Linked DNA regions of Callithrix jacchus. The protein of the gene in region 1 interacts with the protein of each later gene in a pairwise test. Links are inferred from orthologs where the notes say so. Each region holds a gene or a part of one and is shown in the gene's direction. Other genes may lie near its edges.

Evidence for each region. The genes of interacting proteins can lie anywhere in the genome.
Region 2: the proteins of VPS52 (region 1) and WTAP interact in binary tests that used the Homo sapiens proteins (3 or more experiments, as listed by UniProt). The two-hybrid records come from large-scale screens. The link is inferred for Callithrix jacchus from reciprocal best matches to the Homo sapiens genes VPS52 and WTAP.

What each region holds. Positions count from the first base shown.
Region 1 is NC_133505.1:41,508,869-41,518,969, reverse strand, and holds the start of VPS52 (vacuolar protein sorting-associated protein 52 homolog), read left to right. Parts: upstream 1-4,156; 5' UTR 4,157-4,399; coding exon 4,400-4,489; intron 4,490-5,430; coding exon 5,431-5,515; intron 5,516-5,679; coding exon 5,680-5,732; intron 5,733-5,908; coding exon 5,909-5,984; exon of another isoform or gene 5,985-5,986; intron 5,987-6,148; exon of another isoform or gene 6,149-6,151; coding exon 6,152-6,219; intron 6,220-6,520; coding exon 6,521-6,696; intron 6,697-7,058; coding exon 7,059-7,209; intron 7,210-7,496; coding exon 7,497-7,597; intron 7,598-7,708; coding exon 7,709-7,841; intron 7,842-7,966; coding exon 7,967-8,024; intron 8,025-8,363; coding exon 8,364-8,497; intron 8,498-8,966; coding exon 8,967-9,122; intron 9,123-10,101. Other genes in the region: RPS18 (small ribosomal subunit protein uS13), read right to left, coding at 59-160, 239-325, 3,342-3,440, 3,959-3,961. UniProt on the Homo sapiens protein: Acts as a component of the GARP complex that is involved in retrograde transport from early and late endosomes to the trans-Golgi network (TGN).
Region 2 is NC_133505.1:166,520,295-166,530,475, forward strand, and holds the start of WTAP (pre-mRNA-splicing regulator WTAP), read left to right. Parts: upstream 1-4,346; 5' UTR 4,347-4,551; exon of another isoform or gene 4,552-4,615; intron 4,616-4,728; exon of another isoform or gene 4,729-4,882; intron 4,883-6,959; exon of another isoform or gene 6,960-7,073; intron 7,074-10,181. UniProt on the Homo sapiens protein: Associated component of the WMM complex, a complex that mediates N6-methyladenosine (m6A) methylation of RNAs, a modification that plays a role in the efficiency of mRNA splicing and RNA processing.

The sequences.
Region 1 (10,101 bases):
CCAATTCTATTAGGATTCTCCACCATTCCTCGAATCCTGCCCTCATTATGGTACACACCTGGCTATATTTTCCATCCTTTACATCCTTCTGTCTGTTCAAGAACCAGTCTGGGATCTTATATTGGCGTGGATTCTGCATAATGGTGATCACACGTTCCACCTGGCAGGCAGGACAAGGTCAGTAGACGGCCTCCTTTCCGAGGCAGACTCTACCCCCAAACCCCTTCCTTATCCTCACCTCATCCTCAGTGAGTTCTCCTGCCCTCTTGGTGAGGTCAATGTCTGCTTTCCTCAACACCACATGAGCGTATCTTCGGCCCACACCCTGAATGAAGTCAGAGGTTTTGGAATTAGGGTTGAATCTGATTTATGAATACAGACTTTATAGTATAGACAATCAACCTTTGAAAGCAGGTGGTATCTTTTCTCATAGCCCAGCATATGTAGTTGGCACTATGTGCCTTCTGATTTTTGCATTTTGGAGAACAAGGAGCCTGCCCCCCCCCGGGCTGATGCAGCAAACAACCAGGGTCTCATGAGTTACAGGCTTTGATTAAAGTACTGGGCTGTCAGTTTCTCGGAATCTCTTAAGGGTCACAATTTAGGCAAGTCACTGTATCCCTACCAACAAAGTATCCCAAGATCACCAACTTAATTTTATCAGTGCCCAGAACTGACTGCACACGTTATTAAAAAGAAACTAATGTGCCAGGCATGATGGTGCACACCTGTAATCCCAGCACTTTGGGAGGCCGAGGCAGGTGGATCACCCGAGGTCAGGACTCTGGAGTTCGAGACCAGCCTGACCAACATGGTGAAACCCTGTCTGTACTAAATACAAAAAATCAGCCAGGTGTGGTGGCACATGCTTGTAATCCCAGCCAACTGGGAGGCTGAGACAGGAGAATCACTTGAGCCCAGGCAGCGGAGGATGCAGTGAAACGAGACCGAGCCATTGCACTCAAGCCTGGGCAATAAGAGCAAAACTCATCTTAAAAAACAAACAAACTAATGCTTACTTTGGTAGCGTAATATCAACGCCAGCACTAGCACTCATGCCATCTAAACTCATGAACCAAAGTGATTTGGATAGTGAAAGATGGACTGAATAGTGAGGTCCTCCTCTCATTTATGTCCAACTAGAAACTCAGAATGTGGCCCTATTTGGATATGAGGTCGTTAGGGAAATAATTAGGTAAAATGTTACACTTGATTAGGGTGGGCTCTAAATCCAATGACAAGTCATCTTTTAAGATAAACACACAAAGACGATCACGAGATGACAACAGATTGGAGTAATGCAGCTACAAGCCAGGGAACACTAAGAATTCCTGACAACCACCAGAAGAGAGGGAGAGACAAGGTAGGATTCTTAAATGCCCCCAGCGCCAAGAGTAATTTTCTGATTAGTTTATATGAACTTGTTATAGTAGCCCCCAGGAAATTGCAAGAAAGAAATCAAAGGTTGACTTCACAGTGGCTCACGCCTTTAATTCCAGCACTTTGGGAGGCTGAGGCTGGATGATCACTAAGCCCAGGAGTTTCAGACCAGCCTAGGCAACACAGTGAGATCCTGTCTCTAAAAAACAAACAAAAAAAACTGCACTCCAGCCTGGGCAACGGAGACTCTGTCTTGGAAAAAAATAAAAATAAATGTGACCAAGGGTCAAATTGGCAGGCTGATTCAGAAGACAGTAGTCTTTCAAATTTATTTATTAAATGACAGGGTTTCACCCATGTTGGCCAGGCTGGTCTCAAACCCCTGACCTCAGGGGATCCACCCACCTCAGTATCCCAAGGTGCTGGAATTACAGGGATGAGCCACTGCACCCAGCCTCAAATTTTATTAAATGTCCTATTTCAGAAGCCAACCATCAAATTCCATAAACTTAGAAATGAAAAGATTTACTTCAGGCCAGGTGTGGTGGCTCAGGCCTTTAATTCCAGCACTTTGGGAGGCCAAGGCAGGTGGATCACCTGAGGTCAGGAGTTCAAGACCAGCCTGGCTAACATGGTGAAACCCCATCCCTACTAAAAATACCAAAATTAACTAGGTTAATTCCAGGTGCCTGAAATCTCAGCTGCTCGGGAGGCTGAGGTAGGAGAATTGCTTGAATCCGGGAGGTGGAAGTTGTAGTGAGCCAAGATGGCACTACTGTACTTCAGCCTGGGCAAAAGAGCAAGACTGTCTCCCCACCAAAAATGGCAGGAATTTTCCTTTACAGTCCTCAAACCTGCCAAGAGTATCCCTACTACTATCCATTCCCTAACATGCAACAGAAGCTTAGAACTGTACGACAGGCCTAGCCCTGTACCCATGAAATGGACACATACTGGTAGGCTATTTCCACAACTAACTACACATTCTGATTAATTAAAAAAAAAAAAAAAAAAAAAAAAAAGCATTTATCTACAAAGGAGTTCCTTACATTTGTGGAGAGAAATATGCAAGTGAAGCAATGTTCTTTGCATTCCCTTTTGGATTCTTACAAGTGAATGAAATCTGTACTCCTTCCCACTTTGATAGGAAAGGAGTGTCAATTTTGGCATCTGAGTAAACGTCCTGCCCAGACTTCCTCAACCCTCCATTTACAGGTTTCTTCACACTTTATCTGTTGGCATGTCTACTTATCCCTCAAGAAGCCCAATAATCCTCCCGTTCCCAGGGCATATAAATTTCACAGGAAAGGTTGCTATTATGATGGTGGTTTGGGTAATGAAACAAATCTAGCAGGGATCTCACAAGCTCACGGTTCAGGGGGATCTTAGCGAATTTGGGTAGGTAACCATACCCCGCCCCACTTCCCCCGGTGAAGTATATTGGGCTTGATCTTAAACCACTCAATTGGCTTTACCTAACCTCTGTGATAAATGTAGTAAGGACTAAAGGGGTTAGTTTCTCCCTAAACTATTTTCTTTTTCTTTCTGCGACGTAGTCTCTCTCTGTCGCCAAAGCTGGAGTGCAGTAGCACGATCTCGGCTCAGGGCAATCTCTGCCTCCCAGGGTCAAGCGATTCTCCAGCCTCCGCCTCCCGAGTAGCTGGGACTACAGGCGCGCACCACCACGCCCAGCCAATTTTTTTGTATTTTTAGTAGAGACGGGATTTCACCATGTTGGCTAGGATGGTCTGCATCTCTTGACCTTAGGATCCGCCCGCCTCGGCCTCCCAAAGTGCTGAGATTACAGGCGTAAGCCACTGCGCCCGGCTTTCTTTTCTAAATCCGGCAGTCCAGGTGATCTGGATGAGACTCAAGTTTCCCCAACGTTCCTTTATTTTTGCTTATATCTTTACAACCTAATTCTCATTTACATTCCCTATTCCTTATCCTACTTCACTTACCTTAATGGCAGTGATGGCAAAGGCTATTTTCCGCCGCCCATCGATGTTGGTGTTGAGTACTCGCAAAATATGCTGGAACTTTTCAGGGATCACTAGAGACTGATTGAAAAAGTATGGGGAGATATCAGACACAGTAAACTACTATCAAACAGTAAGGTTGCTAAGGCAAACGACCTTTATAAAGAAAAGTTAAAAACCTGTCACACAAGTGGTCAAAGACACCCGACCCCCATCCCTTAGGTTTTCACATCACAGCAAACTCCTCAAGTCCTGCAGAGAGTAGGAACATGAAGCATTCAAGCGTGGGGAAAAAAAACCTCTGGAGAGAGGAGGCAGGACTCCTGCCCATTTCCAAAAGTGCACTCTGCGTGGCAGAAGCCAGAGTCCCTATAATACGCCCAAGCCTTTGGCAGCTTCCGTGTGCCCAAGCAGTGACCCTTCCTTGGGCCCGCTACCCGGAATTGGAAATCTTTGGTGTCCCTTTCCAGGGGCGCGATTCAAGGCTCCATACAGAAGGTTGCAGGCCGTCAGGACAGAGCGTTTCTAGAACCCTGACAGCCGGCTTCCCTTGCCCGAGTTCCGATGTCGCTGGATCACGGCACAGCTTCCAGTCTTACCATGGCGGCAGAACAAGCGGCGGCGTGTAAGCCTCCTGTGGAAGAGAAAACGGAAGTGACGCAATGTTCTTATATAGCTTTAGGAGGAAGAGGCGGAGCTATCTAAGAGACGTGCTTCCGGAAACTTTCAGCGCGAGCTGCCTGGACTCTGGAGAGTATGACTTAGGTACCATAACTTCCGGTACAGCCTTTCTTTACAGTTCGCAAAGTTCATGGGTATGAGAGCAGCGAAGGTTCCGGAGCTAGTTTGTGCTTTAGACTTCCATGTTTCCATTTGCAGTTGGGTGAAGTGATTAGAGCTGAAAAGGAACCCCTGGAGTCAGACAATTTAACTCAAACATCTGGGAAGTTCGCTCTGAGGAAGGCTGTCTGGGACTTGAACTCCACTCTAGGGAACGGACTTGCCGGGACTGACAGTGGCCGGAAGTGAGGCTGCGGGGAATGGCCGCCGCTGCGACCATGGCTGCTGCCGCCCGGGAACTGGTATTGCGGGCTGGAACCTCAGATATGGAGGAGGAAGAGGGCCCGCTGGTGAGAGCGCGGAGCTGTTTCTCCTCCTAAAGGCCTGGGCTGGGTTTAGGCACGGGTGGGAACTTGGCTGCTACGCGTGATGTTACCTGTTTGGCTCCTCTTACCCTTCCCGCTGATCAGACCCAACCCTGAGCAGGTCCCTAGTGGCTGCAACTCATGTCCTGGGGCACAGTTTCAACTTCTCTCCATATTTTGGGGTAGAGTCAAGAAACAATATAGTATAAAGGTTAAGAACATGGCCTCTGGAGCCAGACTGCCTTGGTTCTGATTCCATTTCTGCCACTTAACACGCTGTGTGCCCTTGGGCAAGTTAATTGGCTTCTCTGTGGCATCATTTCCCACACCTATAAGGTGAGGAAGAGAGAACCTATTTTATACATCATTGTTAGACTCAGATAAATGAGTATGTGTAAGATGGCACCTGGCACGCAGGTAAACACTGTGTTTTGACATTTCTAGAAAGTCTGGGGTTCCCCAGAGGTCTGAGATAACAGGAGTCTGAGGGTCCTAAATTTAAGTGCAAGTTCTGCTCTATTCTCTGCAATTTCTAGTTTTCCTCATTTAGTCATCTCCACTGTCTTGTCATTAGTTTTGTTTTGTTTTTTGAGACGGGACTCCCTGTGTTACCCAGGTGGTTGACCTTGAACTCCTGGTCTCAATCTTCGCGTCTCAGCTTCTAAGTAGTTGGGACTACAAGGAGCCCACCACCATGCTGGGCTACCTCCACTATCTTACTGAATCATCTAACTCCTTGTCATATTCCTTACCCAACAGCACAAAATAGGAGAGTGGGTACAGTGGGAGACTTAGAATTTTTCAAAGCAGTACCTGTGCTCCCAGTAAAAGCACCTCTATATCACTTGAAGGACTTCGGGTATTTAATTATATATTTTCTTCTGTCTTTCCCCATTCCCTACTCCCATTAACCTATCCCTTTCTAGGCCAGTGGTCCTGGGCTCCAGGAACCACTGCAACTTGGGGAGTTGGATATTACTTCTGATGAGTACATCCTGGATGAAGTGGATGGTAAGTGATGGCATGGGTGGGTGTAGTAGCTGTAATTTGAGAGGCATGTGGGCTAGAAGGAATAAGGTAGGGATTGGTGTGCAGATACTCAGTGTGGGGAGAGGGAATTGTGGTCCAGCTCCAATGTGTGGAGCTGGACCCTTATGATAAACTTCTATTTCCAGTTCACATTCAGGCAAATCTGGAGGATGAGTTAGTAAAGGAAGCTCTTAAAACGGTGAGGCTTTCCCCTATACTAATCTGCCCTTCTATCTACTCTCCCCAAAAGGAAAAACAAGTCTCTTGCTTTTGTTATATTAGCCTGGTGTCTGACCCTTTAGTCCTTCACTGATTCTGTTACAGTGTCCCTTTACTGAGACTTCCTCCTGACCTGTCATCTTTATGTTCTCCCAGGGTGTAGATCTTCGTCACTATTCAAAGCAAGTTGAGCTGGAGCTACAGCAGATTGAACAGAAATCCATTCGGGATTGTATCCTCCAGCAGAGGGAAGGGGCAGTGCTATTACCCTGGGGATTTTGTGGTATGTGGGGTCCACATCTCTGAGGTTTCTGTCCCTTCAGAGAGAAATTGGAGAGGTTCTACAAATCTGAGGATTTCCATCTTCACCATGAGGCCCCTTGACTTTTTGTGGGTCAGATATTCAAGAGAGTGAGAATATAGCATCTCTGCACAACCAGATCACAGCCTGTGATGCTGTCCTGGAGGTTAGTAATTATGACCTGTGACCTGTAATAGCTACTCTGAACTAGATCATGGACTCTCATGCCATTTTTAGGTCATCATCCTCAAGATGGGACAGGTTAGGATCATTTTCAAGATGACCTCAGGAGCCTTTTTTGTTATTACTGTGATATTTAATGTTATTTCATGGCAGTCTATGGGTTTTATCATCTGCCACCCTCATGGACTGATAAATACTGAGGACTTCACCAAGAGGCCTTGGTGGCCCACTTATCCCCTACCAGCTCTAGAGCACTCCAGCAACATCTTCTACCCTTCCTACAGCGAATGGAGCAGATGTTGGGAGCTTTTCAGAGTGACCTCAGCTCCATCAGCTCTGAGATTCGGACACTGCAGGAACAGTCAGGAGCCATGAATATTCGACTTCGAAATCGCCAGGCAGTTCGAGGGAAACTTGGGGAACTTGTTGATGGTCTGGTGGTGCCTTCTGCTCTGGTCATGTGAGTTACCAGTTTGAAGGGTCATAATGTCCATAGTAGATGAATGGGCTGGGGTGACCTACCCTCTTTACCGCATGGGTCTCCTAGCTCCCGGTTAAGTGATTTTTAGAAATTAGTAGCCGGATTAACAACCATTTCTTTAGGCATGCTTTAGGCATCAAAGATTAAGATTAAGAATGATGCAGGATCAGGTGTGTAGTGGGGAAGTCCAGGAATAGAAAACTTTGTACATGTGTCCTGATATATAGTACATTGCAGGGTGGTAGCATGACAGAGGCTGGATGTAAGGAATGTGGTCTAGGTCTGGTTTAGGGATGTCTGGGTCTCCCTTATAACTCATCCCACCCCTTCCTGCTCCCCAGGGCAATTCTAGAGGCTCCAGTGACAGAACCCAGGTTCTTGGAACAGCTACAGGAGCTGGATGCCAAGGCAGCCGCAGTCAGGGAGCAGGAAGCTAGAGGCACGGCGGCCTGCGCAGATGTCAGAGGCGTGCTTGATCGGCTCCGGGTCAAGGTGGGAAGTAGGGATGGATACCCTGGAGGCTACTAGAAGCAGCCTTCCCAAGACCTTCAGTATGGATCTCCTTGGCAGGGCTCACTGTAGCCTGTCTCCAAGAACTTCACCCTGCCTTTTCCGGGCAGCCCCATTCTTGCCTCCCTGGGTTTCCCTGAAAATCTTAAATACCAAAGAGGTATTCACCACCCTTCTCTCTATGTTTACTATTTGTTGCTTCCCCCAATTCCTCTCATACAATAAAAGGGTTGCAGCTTCATGCCCTGTGTTTGGTTCCCCACATCTAGGCAGTGGCGAAGATCCGAGAGTTTATCCTCCAGAAGATTTATTCCTTCAGGAAACCAATGACCAACTATCAGATCCCCCAGACAGCCCTGCTGAAGTACAGGTCACCACCCCGGGGAAGTGCATGGATGGCCTTTGAGCTTTTGAGCAGCCTAGTGTGGGCATCTGGTTTCTTGGGCAGATAGGTAGACTGACATGTTCTTGACGCTTCTAGGTTCTTCTATCAGTTTCTGCTGGGCAATGAACGAGCAACAGCAAAGGAGATCAGGGATGAATACGTGGAGACGCTGAGCAAGATCTACCTGTCTTACTACCGCTCTTACCTGGGGCGGCTCATGAAGGTGCAGGTAAGGCCAGGAGGGAGAGGCATTTCTGGGCACATGGACTGGGAGGAGGAGACATCTCTGGGCAAGGAATATTTTACTGTGCTATGGAAAGAGTTGGTTATCAGTTCTCTTTTCTATTTTCTTAGTATGAGGAAGTTGCTGAGAAAGATGATCTGATGGGTGTGGAAGATACGGCAAAGAAAGATATCCTAGTACTGGGGAACCCTCATGCCAGGCCTTGAGAGTGGGAGGACTTTTGGCTCCAGCCACCAAGGCACTGCTCCTTACCTTTTCCTATGGGACTGAAACCTTTTGGAAAGTGATGAAAGCTATAGCCTCTTTTCCTAGAAAGATGTACACATCATTTTGTTACATAGTTTTGCATATGATTGCAGAGGAGGGAGAGATCCCCTGAAGCCCATTCACAGATGTCAGGTGAAGTGGGGCCCCAGTACTGGGAAAGAAGGCTGGCTGGGGTCCCTGCAGATAGTCTTTGGGCCCAGTTATGGTCTTATTGTTTTCCCTGACTCTGACCCATCTTACGGTTCTTCTCAAAGCCATCGCTCCGCAGCAGGAACACCATTTTCACCCTGGGAACCCGTGGCTCTGTCATCTCCCCGACTGAACTTGAGGCCCCCATTCTGGTGCCTCACACAGCCCAGCGTGGAGAGCAGAGGGTATGAGGAGGAACAAGCTTCAGTCATGAAGGAGACTCTGAGCATGAGGGGAGGAAAGGCCACCCCTCAGGGCAAAGCTTCCCAACCTGCAGTCCCTGCCTCAATCCCCCTAGACTTGAGAGTGGGCTTCTCCAATCACTCCAGCCTACTGTAATGTGAAAAGAGCTGGGAACCATTGACTTAAGGGCATGTAGAGGGGGGAGACTGGCTGAGGGGAATGATGGTCAGAGGCAGGTGTTGAGGTGGATGCAGGAGTAGCGACAGCAAGAGGGTATAGGCCCTTCTTTTACCCCTGTGTTCCCTGAGCTTTTCAGTGCCCATTCCGGATACTCTGACAGCCCGGACCTAGATGGATGTGAAGGGTCTGCTCGGCTCTTATTACCCAGGTTTACTGATTTTCCAGCCATATCCATGGGAAGTCAGTGTTGGGGTCCATCCCTTCTGTTTTTCTTTACTTCTCCTCTCCTAGTATCCATTTGAGGCTCTCTTCCGCAGCCAGCACTATGCCCTCCTAGACAATTCCTGCCGCGAATATCTTTTCATCTGTGAATTTTTTGTTGTGTCTGGCCCGGCTGCACACGACCTGTTCCATGCTGTCATGGGCCGTACACTCAGCATGACCCTGGTAAGATTCCTATTTCAGGTACTGTTCAATACCTTTGTCCCAGTCTTCATCAGCAGCATAGTGGGGTCATGACTGGTAGAACTGAAATCAGGATCACCTCATTCTAAAATGTCTAAGCCTTGGCTGGGCCTGGTAGCTCATGCCCAAAATCCCGGCACTTTGGGAGTTCGAGGCAGTTGGATTGCCTGAACTCAGGAGTTTGAGACCAGCCTCGGCAACAACCTCATCTCTACAAAAAATAAAAAATTATCTGACTGTGTGTTGGTGTGTGCCTCTGGTCCCAGCTACTGGAGATGCTGAGGTGGAGGGATTGCTTGACCCCAGGAGGTCAAGGCTGCAGTAAGCTCTGCCCTCCAGCCTGGGAGACAGTGAGGCCTGTCTCAAAAAAACAAAAACAAAAGGTCTAAGCCTTGTTACTTAGACTTGTTATGATGTTACTCCTCATGAAATCCTCAGAGCTTAGGGTCCCTGAGATTACCCCTAGTGAGAATTGAGGGACCCCTAAATCTTGGTGCTCAAGCCCCGGACCCAATCTCAGTCCTGAACTCTGCTATGATAGACTTGTAATCATAGATCCTGGTGGGGCTGGGTGCAGTGCCTTATGCCTGTAATCCCAGCATTTTGGGAGATGAAGGCAGGAAGATTGCTTGAGGTCAGGAGTTCGAGACCAGCCTGGCCAACATGGATAAATCCTCTCTACTAAAAATACAAAAATTAGGTGTGGTGGTGGGCACCTATAATTCCAGCTACTCAGGAGGCTGAGGCCAGAGAATTGCTTGAACCTGGGAGGCAGGTGGAGGTTGCAGTGAGCTGAGTTTGTGCCATTGCATTCCAGCTTGGGCGACAAGAGCAAAACTCTGTCTAAAAAAAAAAGCCAAAAACAGATTCTGGTGGGCAAGGCAGCAGGACCACCTGGGTGGCAGTGGACAGGAAAGCAGGGGGCATTTTTCCCTTTTAGGTCTCTCCCTTCTCTCTCGCC
Region 2 (10,181 bases), about 130 Mb from region 1:
ATTTTTATTTATTCAGTATTGCAATCAATAGTATTCATTTTCTTTTTGATGTTAAAACTGCCCTAAAGTTGGCCCGTGGGAGATCCTTCAAGCTGACTCCCATGTCTCTAAAATTTATTTTTGAGAGACTGAAAATACAAATGAACAATGGCCACAATATACATAAAAACAGAATTCTGGCCCATTACCTGCAACAACTAGCCCAGTAAACCAATCATTTATCTACCATAAGTGCTGTACACCCAGCCTAAAAGCCAAACCTGCTATCAACCAGACTCGTAGTAAGGCAAACTGCTATCTCTGGTAGCCATCCAGGAAGCTAAATAGTAACTTCTACGACATCAGCTCAAAATTACCAGGACTTGATTAAAAATTAACAGCTTCCCTAATTTTTGTCCCCACTCCTAGTTTATGACCATCCAGAGAAAGTCACATATGCTCCTTTAACCAACCCCATGGGATGCCAACTTCTAGTTAGCTTCCAGCTTCCCCATGCAACAGCTTCCCCTCAGGCATTCCTGTGAAACTTTCCCTTGTCCACTGTAAAGCTTTCCCACTCCTCTGCATGCCTTTGAACCTCTGCCAAAACGTAAGTGATGGTGCTGACTCCTTTGCTACAGCAAGTTCACAACAGACTTTGCTTTTCTCATTTGGATTGCCTTGGCTTATTTCCACATTTTATTGAGGTATAATTTACATGCAATAAAATGCATCCCTTATAGTGCCACAATTTAATGAATTTTGAAAAATGTATATCTCTCTGTTAACCAGGACACAGAACATGTCCATCACCCCCAAAAGTTCTCCCATTTTCCTTTCCAGTCAATTCCTTCTCTCTTCTCCTCCTAGCCAACTACTGATCTACTGTTTATCACTATGGATTAGTTTTGTTAGTGCTTCTAAATACTGTTGGCATAGCCTCATCGGTCTAAGCACTTCCTTTGCATTCAGGCACAATGAAATACCTGGCTCAACTCGTTTTTTTCCCAGCCCAGAGCTGGAATCAGCCAATTCTTCCAGGAGCTCTGGATCTCTTCTTTAGTGGAAATGGAATTCAGAAACCAAGATCTGCGTGTCAGATGTGCTCATTGTTACTGTAGGGTGACCTTGCCTGTACATCCTAGTTCACCTGGGACTGTTCCAGTTTTAACCTGAAAGTCCAGCATCCACAGAAAACCCCTCAGTCCATGGCAAACTTGACCAATTGGTCACCCTTGGGCTTCTAGGCCCTTTCAGTGCACAGAACCAGGAAATTTTATTTTGCAGTTTAAATTTTTTTCTTCTTTCTCTTTGATAGGGTCTACAGCCCAGGCTGGAGTGCAATGGTAAGATCACAGCTCACTGTAACTTTAAACTCCTAGGCTCAACTGGTCCTCCAATCTCAGCCTCCCAAGTAGCTAGGACTATATAGGCACAGGCTACCACCCCTGGCTATTTTATCTGGACTTTGTAGAGCCAGGGTCTCACTGTGTTGACCAGGCTGGTCTTGAACTCCTAGGCCACTTTGGCTTCCTAAAGCACTGGGCTTACAGGTGTGTGCTTCTGCACCCAGCCCTGCAGTTTAAACTCAGTATTACAGACTATTTTTTTCTGAACTTCTTAAAATTTTTTATATTAGTTTTTTTCAGGATCAGTGAACTTTTTTTTTTTTCACAAAGTTCTCATATTGTATTCTTCAGTTCCATTAGAACATCTTAAAAATTGTTTTAAATTAAAAAAAAAATGGAGACAGAGGTCTCACTATGTTGCCCAGGCTGGTCTCAAACTCCTGGACTCTAGTGATGCTCCTGCCTTGGCCTACCAAAGTGCTGGGACTGCAAGCATCAGCCACCCAGCAGTTCAAACCAGTGTTGTTCAAGGATCAACTGTGTATCCTAATGAGGAAAAAAATGCAAAGGAGCTTTCAGCTTCACTAACTGCTTTATGATTGACTAATATTGTTGCTGTTGTTTTCAAACTATGTACTGTATGTGATATGATGGGATAACATAAGTACTTTAATGTTACTGTGTACAAAGACTTCTAGTGTATGAGAGAATGATATAAATGGAAGATCCAAGAAGTTCAGAAAGAGGCCGGCTGGCTGAGGCCTGCAGTCCCAGCACTTTGGTAGGCCAAGGCAGGTATGCAGATTTCTGTATATGCCTGCAGAAGGTCCTACATCCAATCTCCTGCATATAAGGAGGAAAGACTACACTATCTCAACACAGATACATTACTAGAGGACTGTGTTCAAAAGCCCCAAGGGGCCGACTGTGGTGGCTCACGTCTGTAATCCCAGCACTTTGGGAGGTCTAGGCAGGCGGATCACCTGATGTCAGGAGTGAGTCTGGTCAACATGGTGAAACCCCATCTCTACTAAAAATACAAAAATTAGCCAGGGGTGGTGGTACATGCCTGTAATCCCAGCTACTCTGGAGTCTGAGGTGGGAGAACTGCTTGAACCCAGGATGGGGAGGTTGCAATAAGCTGAGATTGTACCACTGCACTCTAGCCTGGGCAACACAGCAAGACTGTCTTAAAAAAAAAAAAAAAAAAAGCCATACTTAAGAATTTTCATTTGTTTCAATTTGCTTTCAACTCTGAGGTTTACTTTTTTATTTACTTGTCGGCTATATAAAACTAAAAGTTCAAAGACAGAGAATTCTTGTTTCTATCTCCCCTCCACTCTTGCCCACCTCTCTTTATAGGTAACTATTTTAAGTTTCCGGGATATCCTTCCAATCCCTCCTCCCAAAATAAGCATATATACATAAATATGCATGTTAAATATAAATATTTTTATATATTAAGATATATAAAATAAGCAACACATGGTTTTCTGAATCTTTTTTTTTTTTTTTTGAGACGGAGTTTCGCTCTTGTTACCCAGGCTGGAGTGCAATGGCACAATCTCGGCTCACTGCAACCTCTGCCTCCTGGGTTCAGGCAATTCTCCTGCCTCAGCCTCCTGAGTAGCTGGGATTACAGGCACGCACCACCGTGCCCAGCTAATTTTTTGTATTTTTAGTGGAGACGGGGTTTCACCATGTTGACCAGGTTGGTCTCGATCTCTCGTGATCCACCCGCCTCGGCCTCCCAAAGTGCTGGGATTACAGGCTTGAGCCACGGCGCCCGGCCCCTTCTGAATCTTTTTAAGGGCTGCATTGTATTCTATTGGATGGATGCACCATTGCCTATCCCTTCCCTATTAATGGATATTTAGGTTATCCCTAACTTTTGCTATGACAAATAGCACTGCAATAACCTTGTATACATATTGTTTCCATGTGTAGAGCTGTACCTTCAGAATAAGGTTAGGGTTAGAACTGCAAGGAGTAAGAATAAACAAACGTAATTTTGTACTCCACAGATTTTGAACCATTTTTCCACTCCCACCAGAAAGGTAATTTCAATGTGTATTTCCATTGTAAGTAAGGTGGAGCATCTTCCCACGTTTAAGGACCATTACTGTATTTTTTCTGAGAATGATTTGTTCATGTCCTTCCCCATTTTCTCCTTTGAATTTTGGACTTTTTGTTTTCAATTTTTGAGAGTTCTTGTGATACAAGTTGCAAAGACTTCTCCAGACTGATCTGATTCACGGGGAATGTAATACGACCATCTGGAGTGTACTTTAATCTTATCCTTAGAAATCACCTTACTACAAGACACTTCATTGGGGATAAACAGGTTTGATAAAGCCGGCTAAGGGCAGACCAATCGAAAGAATTACGTGATCCTCTAGTGTTTCGAGATTGTTCCACGTTCTTCAGGTAACACCGCCCTTACTCGGCAATCCAGATGGCGCAGTCTTGCTTCAGGGAGTCTGCTCGACTTGCAGGACCCCTTTAACTGGATTCACTAAGCCCATCGGGGCCGGCCGCCTTTCCCTCCTCAGAGTTAGCAAGGCGCCCTCAGAGCCGCGGTCGCCGCGCAACCTCCGGCACCAGAGAACAATAGCTCCTCGATACGTCCCCAGAGACGTCAAGGAGGAGCAAACCCGGCGTCCAGGAGGATACGCCTTACGACAGAAGAAAGGGAGGGCATCGGTTTCTAAGTTCTCAAAACTTACAGGTGAGCTTCTGCTAAGCGTAAACGCCCCCAGCTCGCCGCCCACAGCCTCTCTCGAGGTGGCACCTGGTCCTCCGACGCGCGGAAGCATCAAGGATGGGAGTCGCGACCACAGAGCGGCCAATGACGCGCCGCCTTCGCCCAGATCCCTCCGCACGAGGCCGTCCCGCAGACGCAGGTGGCCGCGGCGAGTGCGTCCACCAGGCGGCCACCTTCCCTTCCCGTGATGCCCCGCGGCTGACCTCCGACCTCGCCGTCCCGCCCCTCCAGCCGCTTCCCTTCCCGCCCCCACCGCCTTCGCTGAGCTCCGGCGGCCGCGGGGGCTCGCGCCAGGCTCCTGGGAAAAGACAGGGTGTGTTACCGGGGAGCAGCTGCTCCACTGCGCTTCGAGGCCCCGATCGGGCTAGGCCGGCGGCCGCCCTCCCCTCACTTTTCCTCTACTGGCGGGGCCCGGCGGCGGGCAGGTGACCGCGGCCACCCCTGAAAGGCGACTCTTCGGTGAGTGGGCCAGAACGCGAACATGGCGGAGCGATGAGGCTGGCGGGAGGCGGCAGGCAGTGGCGCTGGCAGGCGGCGCGTTCGGGCCGGGCTGTGGGGCGGGGCGGGGCGGAGCGGGGCCGGGCGACGGGGCGGGGCCGGGCGGCGGGGCCTGGTTTCCTCCCTCAGCGCCATTTTGTGGCAGCGAGACCCGCAAATAAAGGGGAGCGCCGGGGTTGTGGCGGGACTGGGAGCGCGGCGGAACCGGCGGCAGAGCGGTCCGGTTGCGCGGCGCCCGCGGGGCCCGGGCGGCGGGGCGAGCAGCGCGGCCTCGGCCTCCGCGACAGGAGAGGTAGGTGCGGGTCGGCTGGCGGGAGCGGCCGCGGGGGATCTCCGGGGCCTGAGGGCTGGGGCGCAGCGGCCACGGGCCGGTAAGGGGCGGGCAGGGCCGGAAGGATCACTCATGCCCCGGGCGGCACCGGTCTCTCGTAATCCGCTCTATCTTCCCGCCTGCGGAAACACTTCCGCCACCCCGATGCCATTTTATCTCCGTCCTCCGTCCCCGGGGTCCGGGGTGAGACGGGTGCTCCGGCGGTCGGAGAGACCGGCCATTCACGGAGGCCGAAGGTTGCCCTCCCCGGGCTGAACGGCGGCGCTCGTCCTTTCCTCTCCTCTCCTAGGTGTCGCCCCCTCCACCTCCCTCGGGCCTCTCCCGAGAACCTGGCGGCACTAACGAGTTCAGCAAGAAAAAAAAATCGTTCGTTCCCAGTATTTCGTGTCACGCAGTAGGTTGTTACTGCAGATAGGTTATCTTGTAGATTTCCATTTTCAAATGAGTGCGTGCATTCTGAGGAAAGAAACTGAATTATTTGCAGATTTTTGTGAAATCCAAGTCTCACCTTGGATCCCTGTGACAGTTATTCGATGATTTTTTTAACCGTTTTTCATAAGTCAGTGTACACATAGTAGAAAAGCCTAAGTTCTTGTTTTGATAAAGAAGAAAGTCGCTTGGTGGTTTGATCCCAAAGGACTATCTTAATATCCTGTGATTATGTAAAAAAAAAAAAAAAAATCTACCATTTAGTAGAAAAATTCGCCGAAAGTATTTTCGGTAATTATGTTACAGTTGCAAGTTGTATTTGTGTCCATTTTATCTAGTTTTTAATTTAGTTAATTCCATTGCTTCGGAAGATAAATGGACATCATAGATGCATCACAAGCTCTCTTTTTTTGTATTTTAAAATTTTGGCTGTTAACTTTTTTACGATAGATAAACATACTACGGACATTTAAAACCATAATTTAAAACCGTGAACGAAAAATATTTTCAAGGTGGGTACATTTTAATTCATTCAAGTAGCACTGATTAGGCAAAGGAAGTGGGGAAAGATTGCAGTCCACAAGTAGGCTTTTAATAAGGTTGAGGTTACGTTTTAACGGTTTGCGTAGGTGTGTTTCTAACAGTGCTTTTAGATCTTAAGGTATCTTAAGCACACACATAGTTTAAAACGTAAGTATTTTTATGTACTTTTTCAGTGGCAGAATTTGGACGAGCTACCGAAATTTCTAGCTCCCAGAGGATGAAAGTAATAATAGTATGTCCCAGGCACTGCTGATTTTTACATGGCTCCTTTATGTCTAGCTTTTCCAATTGAACGTTGAGTCATGTTTGTTCAAAATATTGTTGTGTATTGTCTGTCAGAAATAAGCTGGTAGAGATGAAACAGAAAATGTGTAATAGCTCTATGATGTGGAGATGAGCACTGTCGCTATTTGTACAGTACGTTAAAGCATCCAAGATCTCTTACGGTCTTGTATGTAGTATTGAATCCCCTCGAATATATTGTTTAGCAGTTTTGATCATTATATATTTCTTGTTCTTCAAAATTGTATGTTAGTAGGTCCTTCAGCAAAACAAGACTGAAGATAATATTTTGGTTTTTTCTTGTTTTTACTTTTTAAATTATTTCCAGTGCACTTTTCTGCCTCTAAATGTTGTTTCTTGTAGTTACTAAGCTTACCACCGAAAAACTTTTCAGTATCTTTACAATAGTATGCTTCATTGTGTATAACAAGGCGTTTCATCTGACTAGAACATAGTGCTATAAATATTTTCTGCCTTTGAAGATATAGTTAGTAGAATTTAATTTTTTCCAAGTGCACATGAAAGTTGCCTTTTATGTTCATATTTTATTTGAAAAATTTTATTTATATAGCATGTTGTGCTGAAAGCATCACTATTTGCAGCACTTTGAGACAGGCAAAATTATGTTTTGGTGACTTGGAAACTGCAAGGGTTAAATGACTTACTCAAAATCACACATGACGGAGGGTAAGGAAAAGGTGGCCTTTCAGTTCTGATCAGTACCGTGCTACTATAGTGTCTGAAGATTGGTTTCTTACATTCAGCTATGATTTGTTTCACCAAGGTACCGTGCTTTCTTACTGAAGTTGTGTTGGCTGGCCCTTGCCTCTGTTCAGAGGGAACTGAGTTGCCTAACTTTATGATGCGGAGAGCCAGGAAGCTACTGGGATCTGGGATGGTAGGCACCTAGCCAGTCTAAACCGAACTCCCTACTAAGCTGTTTTTCTCTGTTATGGAATCAAGAGTAGATGGTGGTCCTGATAGTCTAAGTTTGAGATATATTATCTCTAAATTATCTACATAAATAACTGAAACCTTTACGTAATTTAAAAAGTAATTATCATGTTACCACCTTTTTGAGGGGCAAATTTGAGGTCCTTATCCCCAATGTATTAATTAATAACTGTTTTAATCACCTAATGACTCACAGTCATTTTCATCCTGGAAAATGGGAACTAACTTTGACTTTGAAAAGTGCTGTTGTTAAATGTGTGACTCATAAGTATTGAGTATATTTTCTTTATTATTTTTCCTTAGGATTCAATTTTAATTGACTCCAAATGATGATATGATCATTCTGTTTTTTGTGATACGAGAATAGATTGTTCGGAGAACCTGGAATATTCATTGTCTTTATGAATCTAGAAATGACTTTAAATGGTTGTTGTTCTTGTCATTTGCACTAAAAAAAAGTTGACCTGGGGAATACCAAAGTTCTCAGTACATTTGTGCAGTGTGAATGTCAGAATTACGAATTAGCTTCTATTTTGACCAAATAGTTGAATGTTGCAGATAGTTGTAAATTTTGAACCTGTTCTAATTTGCCTTTTCCCAGATGATTCAAAGTCAATTTGACTTTGTGGCATATCATGGACTTTTAAGGAAAGATTGATTTTTCATCAGATTAAAGTTGAAGAAGGACTCTCTTTGTAAATGTTGAGGCTCTGAATTTCCCAAGTTGGATACCCCAAACAACTAGAGTGATCTTAAAAGTGACTCTAAAAGTTGACTTAGGAAGTGTAGACATTTATCTAAAACCTGTATTTACCCCTGACTTACAAATAAAGAATTTTATTTTTAAACAAAATGTTAGTAAAAAGCACCATTTATTTAAAATCTGCTCAACATCAAACTTGTTAAAAAATAAAAGGACATAAGCCAGGTTTAGAAATTTCAATAACTGCAGGCTGGGCCTGGTGACTCACAGCTGTAATCTCAGCCTTTTGGATGCGCAGGCAGGAGGATCACTCGAGCCCAGGAGCCCAAGACCAGCCTGGGCAACATAGCAAGACCTCATCTCTACTAAGAAGGAAAAAAAAAATGTAGCTGGGCACGCCTCTGATCCCAGCTGCACAAGAGGCTGAGAGGCAGGAGGATCACTTGAGCCCAATAGATGGAGGCTGCAGTGAGCCATGATCAAGTCACTGCACTCCAGCCTGGGCGACACAGTGAGACCCTGTCTCAAAAAAATTCAAGTAACTTCTGTTTAGAATTCTAAATATTGGAGATGCCAAGAATTCTGCAGTAAAAGTTAGAAACAGTCATGAGGGCAGTATGATTATTATCCTCAACCTGTGAATTATCTTTTCATGTTTTTTATAGGAAAAGGGAAACTAATAATTAAATGCCCATTTTCTGCCAGTTACCACTGCTGAAGATTAATGTCTATCTTCAGAAATAGCACAGTATTTGGACCCTGTTTCTGGTAATTCTTTTTGAGATAGAGCCCGGGTTGTGGTAATTCTTGAGATGGGGTGCAGAGATTCTGCTACTTTTATATTTGCAAAGTTGATACCCTGTTTTAGAATACCAAGGTTATCAGAACTTTCTTCATGTGTTTCCCAGACCTTTTAATGCTCTTTAAAAGCAGATTATGATCTCATTTGTTGCTTACTAAGCTTGCAGTTAATTTTATTTTAATGGAATAAAAATATGGATACCTGTCTTTAAGAAGAGAATAAACAAGTAAACCTAGGGGAAGTATCCCATTGTAGAAACATATGCAAACGATCCTTGCCAAAATCCTGGCATGGGAATGTGAACCCTCTTGTATGAAAAGTCTGCCCTTTGCAGACTCAGGTTCTGTATCCCATGAATGCTGTATTTTTGATCCCAGTACTTTATTTTTATCTGAGTTTGATTGAAAACAATCCATGTATAAGTGGACCCATGCAGCTAAAACCTGGGTTCTTCAAGGGCCAACTGTAATAATTTATAAACTGGAATTTATATTGAATAGCATCCATGATACTTTAGTATTACAACTAAAATTATACATACTGAGTAGGTAGGATGCCCAATAACTAGATAACAGGTATATCAGCTAGCCTTAGTGATAAATTTAGCTGTTTCAAACTGTCATTCACAGATCTCTACCACAGTACTTGTTATGTGAAGTTCCTGGTTTGTTCTCAAAATTTTATGTTTACATATGCATAGATATAGGCACTTCTATGCTGGTTAAATATGTACAATTAAAAATATTATTGGCTGGCTCTGGTGGCTAATGCCTGTAATCCCCAGCACTTTGGGGGGCTGAGGTGTGTGGATCACCCAAGGTCAGCAGTTCCAGACCAGCCTGGCCAACATGGCCCCATTTCTACTAAAAATGCAAAAAGTAGGCCAGGCATAGTGGCTCACATCTGTAATCCCAGCACTTTGGGGGTTGAGGCAGGTGGATCGCAAAGTCAAGAGATCGAGACTATCCTGGCCAACATGGTGAAACCCTGCTTCTACTGAAAATACAAAAATTAGTTGGGCATGGTGGCTCATGCCTATAGTCCCAGCTATTTAGGAGTCTGAGGCAGGAGAATTGCTTTAACCTGGGAGGTGGAGGTTGCAGTGAGCTGAGATCATGCTGTTGCACTCCAGCCTGGTGATAGCAAGACTCCATCTCAAAAAATAAAAAAGGCCGGGCATGGTGGAAGGAGGGTGGATCACGAGGTCAGGAGTTCAAGACCAGCCTAACCAGTATGGCGAAACCCCATCTCTACCAAAAATATGAAATTAGCCGGACGAGAGAGAGAGAGAGAGAATATGAATGAATTACATGGAAATGCCAGGTTTGATATCTTCGCTCTAAGACTTTGCAGTTTAATGGAGTGGATGCATGTGTCATGCTAAAATAGAAACAGACCTGTGGAGATAAATATGATGATTTCTCAGATGATTAAAATTACTGCTACCAGATTAAGGTAGTCCCAAAGAACCCTTCTATAATGGCAGCAGAGATTACAAACTAGGCAACAAGGGTCATAAAGTAAGCAGGGACCAATTTAAAGAAAAA